3 linked regions of the Oryzias latipes genome follow. The protein of the gene in region 1 interacts with the protein of each later gene in a biochemical or structural test. Links are inferred from orthologs where the notes say so. Each region holds a gene or a part of one and is shown in the gene's direction. Other genes may lie near its edges.

Region 1 (3,846 bases):
AAAGTGAAAGAAGACTCATGGCATGTGGCTTCTTCTATCAGGGTTTGAATTAGTCCATGAATGAACTTTTGTCGTTGGCTATACTTATTAAATAGGTATAGTGTCGTTTTTTTAGACTTTTTTTTAGCTTGCTTTAAAATGTTGTTTTTAAATTGTACTCAAATGATTTTCTGTGGGTTTGTGTACGCATGTGTGTCTGTGTCTCAGGTGGTGGCCGACACAAACATCAGCATCATCGCCTCTCAAGTGGAGAGTTTAACCAGCGGCTCCAGTTTATCTGCTGACACTGAAACGCACCACGCAGCTGAGTCTGAGTGAGAACCCACAAACACATGGTATGGTGGGGGCTGGTGCCATCGTGAACTTGAATTATCTTCTTCCCTCCCAGGGGTCCGCAGCCCAACACCATCACCCTGGAGAAAGGCTCTGATGGCCTTGGCTTTAGCATCGTTGGAGGCTTCGGCAGTCCCCATGGAGACCTGCCCATCTATGTGAAAACAGTTTTCAGCAAGGTCAGCAACATAGACTTATACCAACTGGCTTATAGTATATGACGTCACAGCAAAAAGAAACGCCAATCTAGGTCAGCCATACTGACTTAGTTCAATCCATCTGAACTTAATTCTAAGGTAGGCAACTGGGTAGGACCATAGACTCAAATTAGGCTTAGCTACATCCACCCACCTAGCTAAGCCACCACAATAAACTTATCCATCCATCTTCTTCCGCCTATCCCGGCGCCAGGTCGTGGGGGCAGCAGGCTAAACAAAGATTCTCAGACTTTCCTCTCCCCGGCCACTTCCTCCAGCTCCTCTGGGGGGACCCAGAGACATTCCCATTCAGTTTTGTTTATCAGCCATATTTTTAAAAGTATTTAACTAATGAACTGTTTTTGGATGCTAAAGCCACAAAACTTTCATGACGGTGTGTGTCTCAGGGGGCGGCGGCTGTGGATGGGCGCCTAAAGCGGGGGGATCAGATCCTGTCAGTGAACGGTGAGAGCCTCCAGGGTGTGACACATGAGCAGGCAGTGACCATCCTGAAGAAACAGAGAGGAACCGTCACGCTGGAGATACTGTCATAACGTGACCTGAATGCACACACAAACACTTTCAAACTGCATGTCAAGTTTCTTCTCCCCAGTGTTTTCCCACTCAAACACACATTGGAGGGTCAGACCAGCACGCACTGATGTCAGACGTTCTTAGTTTCTTCCAGAACATTATGAATTTCCCAAAGTCACAGATCTGGTTCCAGTTCTGTTGCTTTATATTTTCAGTGTCTTTTAAAAACTTCAGCGTTTAAGTCAACTCAGTTTGCTTCCTTTTGGGTTTTTTCGGTGGCCTTTGTTTCAAAAAGTCCCAAACCGTAGCAATCCATGCAGCTCCTCAATTCTGGTCTATTTCTTTTGGGACATATACGTCTGGACACCAACAAAAAAGTTAATGCAACGCACTATTCTCCTGCGGGATGTCCTCTGATCAGAACTGAACCCGGAGAGGACCGTCAATGCATTCATCTGTCCAGACAGTGGTGTTTGATCTCACAACCTTCTCTTCTTTAGCTCAGTGGTTCTTCATCAGAATCCAGCTAAGTGGGACACAAACTCTAAAGTCCTAAACACCAAAATCAGGCTTCTTCTTTGTTCATTTTTACAATGATAATTAGAAATATCATACAATACCAGACCTGCAGAAGGATGAAGCGGATCAGCTCCAACTGATCTTTCCAAGCATTTTGTCTGAAATCCCATCACTCCTTTCTGTTTTCCTGTGTAGCTCTGATCCACAGCTTTGATGGTAAAGCTGTTGTCTGGAGTTATGACATATCTGTCACTGCAGAAGCATCAATAGATCTGCATTGATCTCTTAAAGCAAACCCGTTGGCACGTTTGCTTTAATGCAATGATCAAAAAAACAATATAAACACAATTTTTGTTTTGTTTTAAGGAAATGCCAAAATTAGTTTTGCTTTTTTGCCTTTTTGGACAGAAAAAAAAGGTTGAGATTCAATAAGAAACATGTTTGAAATGTGCCATCATCCCGAAGCCAAACTGTGAGCTCTGGATTAAAGACTTCTGTCACCGTTCAGCACACCTATTGTTGCAGAAGTCTAGTTATTGAGGGCGGAACCATGACGTCCTGCTCTGTGCTGGGAAATCGGAGTTAGAACGTCAGAGGGACTCGAGCATAATCCAACCTGTTTAGCTCTTATATCAGAAATGAAACCATGTATTTTTGTGAAAAAATAAAACAAAAGAGATGATCGTGGAGCTTCATGACCTTCTGATTCCATCAGTAGCAGCTAGTTTTCCTGACATTCATCAGAAGAGCGTCAGCTGCCTATTTTCTTTGACAAACTGCTTTGGAGTTAGTTTCCATGGAAAGCCTCTTGAGCTCTAACTGTCAGGATGTGGAAAAACTATCCTGAAGACGTTAGTCCTTTAGGAAGCTTTGCAGAATGTATTGAAGAAAATGGCACAAGACCGTTTTAACGGTGTTTAAAGGTAAGAGGTAAATCTCACAGATGCAGGATTAAAGGCTTTCATTAAACAGTCCCACAACATTTTTGGTTTGAAGATGAATCTTAGTGAGCATGAACACCCAATCTTGCCCCCCAACAACAGACACGGTGTCTTCCATAATAGTTGTCATAGAGAGGAAAATGAAATTATTTTGTACAATAAATGTTTTGTAGATGAAAAGAGGCCACAGTCTAATGTTAACGCAGAGATGTGTGCGCATGTAAATATAAATATGAAACTATATCCTAGTTTCAGTCACGTTCATTCATTCTCATCCTGATGATCTGTTGACACAACATGGAAGGATTCAAAATTAGCATAGATTAAGGATTGACCAGCTTTCTCTAAAAGAAAAAAAAAGTAGATCCAAAGAAGCAAATGTAACTTTTAAAGGAAACAATGAAATCAAAAACCAGTTTGTGATTGCCCAGAATTCAAAATTGACTCTAATTGAAAAAAACGTCTTGAAATTGTAATTGAAATTATGTTATTATTCTAAACTTTTCTCAATTTCAGTTACACAATTATTTTTAGCAGCTGAATCAAAAGTTAATATTTAGGCTATTAGAGGCAAAATGCAGGGAAAAATTAGATACTTTTAATTATGTTTTTTTTTCCAATGTTGCTAACATGTTAGCTTTGTTCTTAAATATTAGCTAGTTATTGTTAGCTTAATCGGTGGCCCTTAAACCAACATAACCAGTTAATCTGTCAAGCTGTCTGTTATTTTCGACATTTGTTTTATTAATGACCACAAAAAACCTTCTTTGATCATGTAATCTTTGATTTAGCCTTCCTAGTTAATTGAATAGCCATCTAGGTGAATAGCTAGCCAGCCTTTATGGATCATCCAGCAAGTGTCCCCTTTCAAAGATATGCTGCTCCATATTTAAAGATAATTTAGAGACATACAGTTGTAATTTTAACAATTTCAAATAAATAATGTGTTAGCAGATAAATGTTTATCCGCTGGTGGCATTCTAAATGGCAGAAATACACAATTATGCTACATATCAATCATGTGCTAATACTTTATGTTGACGTAATTACTGTCTAAACTGCTCTTATTTTTGTAAATAAATTATAATTTATTTTTTTAACTTCACTTGGAATTAATGTTATTTTCCTTATTGTGTAATAGACAAATATGTTTAAATAATCAAAATTACTAATGAGAGCTTAGAAGCCTTGCGTTGTATGTGACCTTTTGAACATTAAAGACTTATGTCATGGTTTGATTTTATTTACATGCATAATAATTTGTCATTAATGTATTTTGTTAAGACTTTTTTTTTTATTCAAGCTTTGTTTAGCTCAATCAT
Region 2 (3,602 bases), on another chromosome or scaffold:
GGCTGCAGCCGCCTCCTTCCAGCCATCCAGAGGGCAGGAGTCTGACCCGGAGCAGGAAGAGGGCCAGGAGGAACCCTCTGAGCACAGCCTAGCAAGGAGCGTGGAAGCCCAAAGAGAGATCCTGGAGGAGGAGGAGGAGGAGGAGGAGGGTGACGAGGAGGAAGAGGGAGTGTCCTTGAAACATGACAGAGCAGGTGAAGCCTGCTGGACCCACAGCAACTATTCCATAAACAGAGTCTTACCGTCTGACCCCCCAGCAGCCAGCAGCTGCCTCGGACATCAGACTCCCAGCTCGCCGCCTGGCCCCGGCAGGCTGCCGCCGCACCGGTTCCATCGGGAGCACCGGGAGCCCCTGGCCCAGCAGGCGCTGGTCCTGCAGCCCACCAAGCAGGCTCAGATAGTCAAAACCAATCAGCACATGGGGGCTGTAGGGGGGCGCTCCACAGGGACCAGATCTCAGTACGCTCCGTCCAGCCCTTTACCCAGCAGGCACATGTCCAACATGCTGAAGCCGGGCCCGGGCATCGACATCAGCCCTCTGTCGACTCCGGCTGAAGAGCCTGTGTACGGGACCCGTGCGCTGCCGGCGTCCGCCTCCCCCTCCGCGGGTCACGGCTGTGAAAACGAGAACCTGCTTCCGCCCCAAACCTACAACGGCTCCAAAGCTCTGGGGCAGGACAGGCTGTCGGTCCACTCCGCATCCTCTCTGGACGGGTCGGCCCTCTCTGGACTCACGGGGAACCCCTCTGACCCGGGGAAGGAGGGCCTGTGTGCGGCGGCAGCATCTCAGGGAGGAAACCTCAGCGGCATGCGGGTGTCCAGCTCCACCAGCAGCTTGGCCTCCAGCAGCAGCCTATCTGACAGCGGCAAGCTCGGACCCGACGTCCGCTCCAAGATCTCCGACAAAACCAAGCTCGGCAAGCAGGCCGGTTCTGCGGCAGAGTACAAACCCAGACCTTTTATGGGAATAACTGACAAGACTGCACGCTTTCAGCAGCAGCAGCAGCAGCAGGTCCAGCAGCACCACCACAGTCTGCAGAGCCACCCAAGCCTGCAGTCCACTGGTCGCAGCTGGCTGAGCCGCTCCTGTGACGGCCCGGTGTGTCAGAACATGTCCGCCGTGAGCCTGCAGCCGGCCGACTGCGAGTTCCCCTACAGCAGAGCAGGCGGCGTCTACCAGGAGCAGCACAAACACCCGCCGCCTCAGAGCGGCTTACAAAACGGCATGCACGCCAAGGAATTTGCAGAGAAGTTCTGCCAAGCAGCAAACTGTTTCCGAGAGTCCAAGCCGCCGCTGGCTGTGCCCAAGCAGCACGGGTTGGCCCGAGATAATCCTGCCCTTCACGTAGCTTCAATGAAACCAAAGCGATCATTCATAGAGTCGAATGTGTAAACCAGTCTGTCTCACCGGCCAAAACTACAAGTGGGACGCTGTCCGTTTCTATTCTGCCCGGGTCTTTAAAGAAACGACGATGCACCAGAAGTTTCCAATCTGTCGCTTCAGCCTCCTGTTACACGAAGACACGTCCAACGCCCCGCTGCCCAGCTGGAGCCATTGCACTGATCCGTGGGCGTGTGCTGATCAACAACACGGCGACAGCCGGGCCGAGCAAGTGCTGCAGCCTCGACCTCCAGAAAAGTCTGGTCCTTCACTCTTTGCTCATGGGGAGTCCTTCAGTTTAATCCAAGGAAACTTCAACAGGGTGTTCAGCTAATAAAACGTCTCCTTTTACATCCTATTTAGTTTCCTGAGAGACGAGGGGCCATGTTTTCATTTAAAGGAATTCATGCACATCATTAGAAAGCAAGAAATGAGAAGTTAGACTTAAATAAAAGCTACAAGGAATTTTTTTTTTTTCTGTTTGTTTTAGGATAAAATCAGTTGAAGTGAAAGTGCTATGTACTGAGCTACAGCTACGTAACAAGACGACTGCTCTAAAGGTGCTGAAAGACCTTCTTTTAGGACTTTTCAGTCCAAAAAGAGGCAGATGTCTTTCTCTGGGACCAGATGACGGATTCCTGGGATTTTTACGTTTTTTTGAGCAGTTTGGAAAAAGTGGTGAATCTGTGTCTCGCTCATGATTGCATCCAAACACGTTTTTATTCCAGTCTGGATGTTCATTTCCAAACTTTATGCTCATAAAGCAAAAAAAACGATTTTGCTGGCATTTAGAAGTTCTTCACTTTCCTACATTTTGCAGATTCTCCCAGGCAGGCAGCACAAACAAAAACAAACAAAGCAATGGATTCCATCGAAACACCATCATGTTCAAAAAGTGAAGGCTTTGTAAGAGTATTCAGAGAAGCGATTGTAAGGAATGGGCATTCCGGTGTTTTTAGGAAGGATGTAAAAATCCTCACGTGTAAAATATATAAATATGTTCCATTTCTTTTTCAGTGAAGGTCTATGTTTTGTGTATTGGCAAGTTCAGACGTGTGAATTTTGAGTTTTCGGCACAATGTTGTTGAAATGGTGTTCAAATGTTAGTTAAGTATATATTTGTACATTATATGAATCACCGTTAACACTGAATTCCTGCTTGTTGTTGCCGTCTAGTTTAATTTATTTACAGCGCCAATGGCTTTGGTTAATTGTAAAAGCAATATATTTTATATAGTTATTTTTGCACAGCTACTAAGACATTTTACGATTCTTATTATTGTTGAGAGCTCAGTGCATGCTTCAGTTGCAGTTTATATTGCAAAAAGATATATATCGATCTATAAAAAATGAGCGATGGATGGAGGGCAGAGTGCCGCCGGCGTCATTTTATGATGTACGTTAAACGCAATTGTTGCCATGTTTTCAGTATTGTGAGCTTTATTAGCCGTGATCACATACTGTAATTGAACATTACTGCCATTGACACCATGGGAGACTGAATAAAGGCCCACTGAGGAATATCCCACTCTTCTGTTTGGTTTCTTCCAAAACGCGTAAAGAGAAGGATGCAACACGAGTAAAACCATGTTGGTTAGTTTGGTGGCTGCAGAATAAGTGAATCCATCTGTTTCTTTGTTTATCACAAGTTCCCTATTTTTTTTATTTGTTAAGGCAAAAATAATCTTAGAAGAGCGAAAAATCAGCTGTTTTGTAGGCAGAGTGATCATCTGATATTTCAAAGTTTTAAATAAAACTTTATTTCACACAATGTAAGTAGTTTGGATGTTAGAATTAGTGCTTTTAAAACATCTTAAACTTTGCAGCAATGTGCCTTGCATTATACATTTTTCAAAATAAAAGCAGTATTTATAAGGCCAACTGGGCCTGAAATGCTCATAATTTTATGAGATGAGACGGAGTAGCATTTTCAAGAACAACAATTGATCATTTGGTTCCCAATGGCAACGATGAGCTCTCGTCTAATGGTCTGACTTCCAGTGTGTGATTGCCATCTTCAGGGATCTGTTGGGGGTGAGGAGCGTGGTCCTGAGGGGCAGGTTTGTCATGGGACTGGTTTTGTGCTTTCCTCGGATCCAGCTCTCTATGGACTCGCGCTCATAGGAGAACCCATCTGTGGAGTAGAAGGACACGTTTTGGTTCCAGAATTCCTGTGGTGAAGCTCTGATGCCAGATCGACTCTGGTCCGACTGCGATGTGT
Region 3 (3,846 bases), about 21 Mb from region 1:
AGAAATGCAAATCCTAGGTGGATACTGTGGACCCAGCATGTTTAGTTTCATTTGTAAAGATGTAGTTTTATGTCCCAACAGTAAAATAATCTGACCAATATAAAGCTATGATCAGATTAGTAGAAATGAGTTCCAAAATTTTTTGACAAGTGGAAATGACTGTTTGTTTCCATAAATGGGTTTCCTGTTTGTAAAGTTATGTGTCACCCACACCTCAGATACTAGTTACACATACCAGTTAAGCCTTCCTCCATACCGGTCAGGTGAGGTAGAAACAGGTGTGAGCATGCTCAGACCAGGTTGACTTAAACAAACACTCACTGTTCGCCTCAGAATCAACTTTCATTCGAGTAAGGATCTGCGTTCGACAGCAGAACTGACACATTAGGTTGAAAAATTGTGTAATATTTGTTGTACCTAATAAGATGACTTTTGTGTTTCTTTCTAGAGACCCGGGATGGAAGAAATAACAATATGGGACCAGCAGACAATAACTCTGAACAAAGTAAGTGAATTTTCTGATCAGACTTTAATGAGGGATATGGCTAAAATAAGTGTTTAGATTACTTTTCATTCAATTCAATTCAGTTTTTGCCTAGTGTTTCCAACGGCAGCATTTGGGTAGTATACAGTGGCTATGCGGAAGGCGCCCTGGCTCAGGCAGTTTCCGTATCGTCTCTCAGGGCTTTGTGTGGCTCTTTCAGTGCTTCTGCTGCAGGTGCTTGGGTTTCGCAGCACAGACCCAAGCAGGAATTCAGAAGCGCCACACCCTGTTGTTGCACCGCGGCACCCTCCTGTCTTTGGAATGTGCTCTGTCTCCCTCTATCTCCCTCTGGCATCACCTGCTCACTCTTCTGCATTGTTCTTCTCCTCTGCTTCCTTTTTTGTCTCATTCATCTTTTTGGTTTTTTTTTTTTCAATCACAGGACCCCAAACTGGGTTTTGGTTTTGCCATATCAGGAGGGAGAGACAAACCTAACCCAGAAAATGGAGAAACTGCTGTGGTGGTGTCTGATGTTCTGCCAAATGGACCAGCCATGGGACGACTGTTGTGAGTTTACCATTCTTGGCCATTAGATAACCACTTCTATCGCTATAGACCCTAAGTAGCTCATGCTCACAGATTCACATTTTTATGAGAGTTTCCTTGATTTTTATAGTCATAAGGATCAAATTACCATGGTCAATGGCATACCTATGGACAACGTCCACTCAAACTTTACCATTCAAACTCTCAAAACATGCGGAAAGACGGCAAACATAGTAAGTATGGAAAAATGAATAACAAATTAAAGGAAAGAGGGAAACCATCAATCTACGCCAATTTATTTATTTATTTATTTTTGCAGACTGTGAAACGTTCTCGAAAAATACAAATCCCAGCAACCACAAAACCAAAGCGGGCAGTGTCCCAGTCCAACCTGCTGGATCAAGACTACCCCAGACGAACCCGCCGCTTCTCCGACAGCAGTGATCCCCGGGATGCAGATCGCTACCGTTCCAAACCCCGCAGCACGACACCTGACCGCAATGGCTATGGAAACAACTCGCCAACTCTGGTGTCCTCTAGCTACAAGAGGCTTCCAAAAAGCACTGCTTCAGACAAACCTATCAAAACCACTTTGATCAAAAAGAAAACCACAGATGGTAAAGAATAGCTTTAGTGTAACATTTATGTTCAAACTTGAACATCTCCTAATTTGTGTTTCTAACATGTTTTGTTTTCTTTCATTTATTCGAATTCTTTTTGCAGAATATGGACTCAAGTTGGGCAGCCAGATTTTTATAAAGCACATGACTGAAACTGGCCTAGCTGCAAGAGAAGGTTCCCTGCAGGAGGGAGACCTCATTCTCAAGGTGAAGAACTGCTACAGTAACGGTTGTGGACTTTTTTTTCCTATCGATGCTGCATTAAAAAGTCCTAATCCATCTGTCTTGATCTCTTAATGTGCAGATCAACGGCATGACAACAGAGAATCTATCTTTGCTGGAGACCAAGCACCTGGTGGAGAAGAGCAGGGGAAAGCTGACCATGATGGTCCTCAGAGATGACCGCAAGTTCCTGGTCAGCATCCCAGAAATAGACGACAGCCCCCACAACACGGGGGACGAGCGCCGCAGATATAGTAGCTCTGAACTGGAAGGTCAATACAATTTTCTTGGGTTTCATTTGAGAACCAAGAGTCTTAAAGCATCAGATAAAGAACTTACAGTATTTCATCCTGTCTTTGCAGAAATTTCAGACCTTGATGAAGACTTGATTCCTCGCAGAACAGCCCGTCAAACTGCTAAAGAGAAGCGGACACGCAGGTACAGACTTCCACCGTACTTTAAACAAGCCACGTCCAGTAGACGGCAAACTTTATTGACAAAAAACGTTATTTCTAATCCAGAACCAGAGCTGAGCCAATTCCTGTGGTGAAGTCTCGTGACTCCTCCCCGATGCGCTCCACCTTGGGACGGCCTGCAAAAAACTACGCCCCTCGCAGACGTCAGTCCTGCTGCAACCACTTTCTCTTCAAAATAAAAGACATCATCACTAACTGATGATGCTTTAATAGTACAGAGATATACATGAAAACTCTCTAAGCAGAAGAGTTTGTTTGTTTCTGACAGCAGTTATTGACAGAACCCTTCTAATGTTTCAAACCCCTCATTGTTTCTTCAGCTCCTTCTGACTCAGAGTCCGACCGCAGCGCCTCCCCTCTTCCCGTCAAAAGAGAGAGTCCTGAAATGAGGGATTCCAGCAAATATAAGTAAGTTCACCTTCATTCTTTGAACTGAGAACTTGTGTGTGAAGTGTATTTATTCCTTCTTGACCTGCAAGATAACCCCTGTATGGATAAAAGTCAGCTTCACGATTATTGAAGGTGATTTGACTAAAAGCATCTGTATTTAGCATTTTTTATGTATAATAAAAACAATATAAGTTGCAAAAATCATTTAACATAATAATTGATCATCTTCCTTTTTTTGCAGATGCTGTAGGGCGTTTTATTTTAAATAACAGTTTTATTCATCCTCATGCTCTTGCAAAAGTCTTTACAATCTGAGTTGATCATCTCTTATATTATCCTCGTCTACCATGCGAAGGAGCTTTGTGGAGGACCGTGGGACCTAAACTGTTGAACTATTGTTTTTGTTTTTTACAGACCTCTGTCGGGAATGTCCACCCTCCCCAACCCGCGGTCCTCCCCTATACATCAAAACTGGTCCTTGCCTAGCTCCTCCAACACCTCCACATTGCCCCGCAGACCTGTGTCGGATTCTGACTCGGATGGCAGTGGCACCCCCCCTCCACGCAGACAGACCCCCCATGTTGACAGCAGATACAAGTACTGATATTTCTATTGAATATGTATAGGATTCAGCCAGTGTTTCAGCTCAGATTGTTCCTGACTAGATGCTTTTTCCTCCCGTCTGCAGAGTCCTTCCTGATCTTCATGGCGCCCTGAAATCCTCTCCCATCCCTGTTCGCCAGGAGCCACTGAGGAGAGTTAGCTCTCCCCTGAGGATTCCACGACCAGGTTGGAAAAGCAAACATGCGTCATTACATTTCCTCGTAATTGTGCACGCCCAGTTCCTTCTAAAACATTTCCTCACCAATATTTACCTAATAAATGTGAATGCCTGATATGCAGGTGTACACAAAGAAAGATGAGGCCAGGGTGTAACAGGAAAGTTCTTCTTAAAGAAAGCCTTTCCCAAGAGCCATGGCATTCGTTTGCAACGATATGCTGATGACACACAGCTTTACATCGCTGTGTCTCCTGCTGACAGAGATGATCGTACATGTTATGGACTTTCAGAACAAGACATCGAGACTTATCGAGATTAGAGAGAAAC

Evidence for each region.
Region 2: the proteins of patj (region 1) and tanc1 interact in a test that uses a peptide from one of them, tested with the Homo sapiens proteins (2 studies listed by IntAct, with this or other methods). The link is inferred for Oryzias latipes from reciprocal best matches to the Homo sapiens genes PATJ and TANC1.
Region 3: the proteins of patj (region 1) and tight junction protein ZO-3 form a complex in vitro, tested with the Homo sapiens proteins (2 studies listed by BioGRID and IntAct, with this or other methods). The link is inferred for Oryzias latipes from reciprocal best matches to the Homo sapiens genes PATJ and TJP3.

Annotation. Positions count from the first base shown.
Region 1 is NC_019862.2:6,373,875-6,377,720, forward strand, and holds part of patj (inaD-like protein), read left to right. Parts: intron 1-207; coding exon 208-314; intron 315-388; coding exon 389-512; intron 513-937; coding exon 938-1,084; 3' UTR 1,085-3,846.
Region 2 is NC_019879.2:20,913,784-20,917,385, forward strand, and holds the end of tanc1 (protein TANC1), read left to right. Parts: coding exon 1-1,393; 3' UTR 1,394-2,909; downstream 2,910-3,602. Other genes in the region: WD repeat, SAM and U-box domain-containing protein 1, read right to left, coding at 3,364-3,515. UniProt on the Homo sapiens protein: May be a scaffold component in the postsynaptic density.
Region 3 is NC_019862.2:27,012,154-27,015,999, reverse strand, and holds part of tight junction protein ZO-3, read left to right. Parts: exon of another isoform or gene 1-350; intron 351-448; coding exon 449-505; intron 506-926; coding exon 927-1,051; intron 1,052-1,160; coding exon 1,161-1,263; intron 1,264-1,349; coding exon 1,350-1,647; intron 1,648-1,753; coding exon 1,754-1,857; intron 1,858-1,954; coding exon 1,955-2,144; intron 2,145-2,234; coding exon 2,235-2,310; intron 2,311-2,393; coding exon 2,394-2,491; intron 2,492-2,668; coding exon 2,669-2,756; intron 2,757-3,152; coding exon 3,153-3,335; intron 3,336-3,426; coding exon 3,427-3,527; intron 3,528-3,846. UniProt on the Homo sapiens protein: TJP1, TJP2, and TJP3 are closely related scaffolding proteins that link tight junction (TJ) transmembrane proteins such as claudins, junctional adhesion molecules, and occludin to the actin cytoskeleton.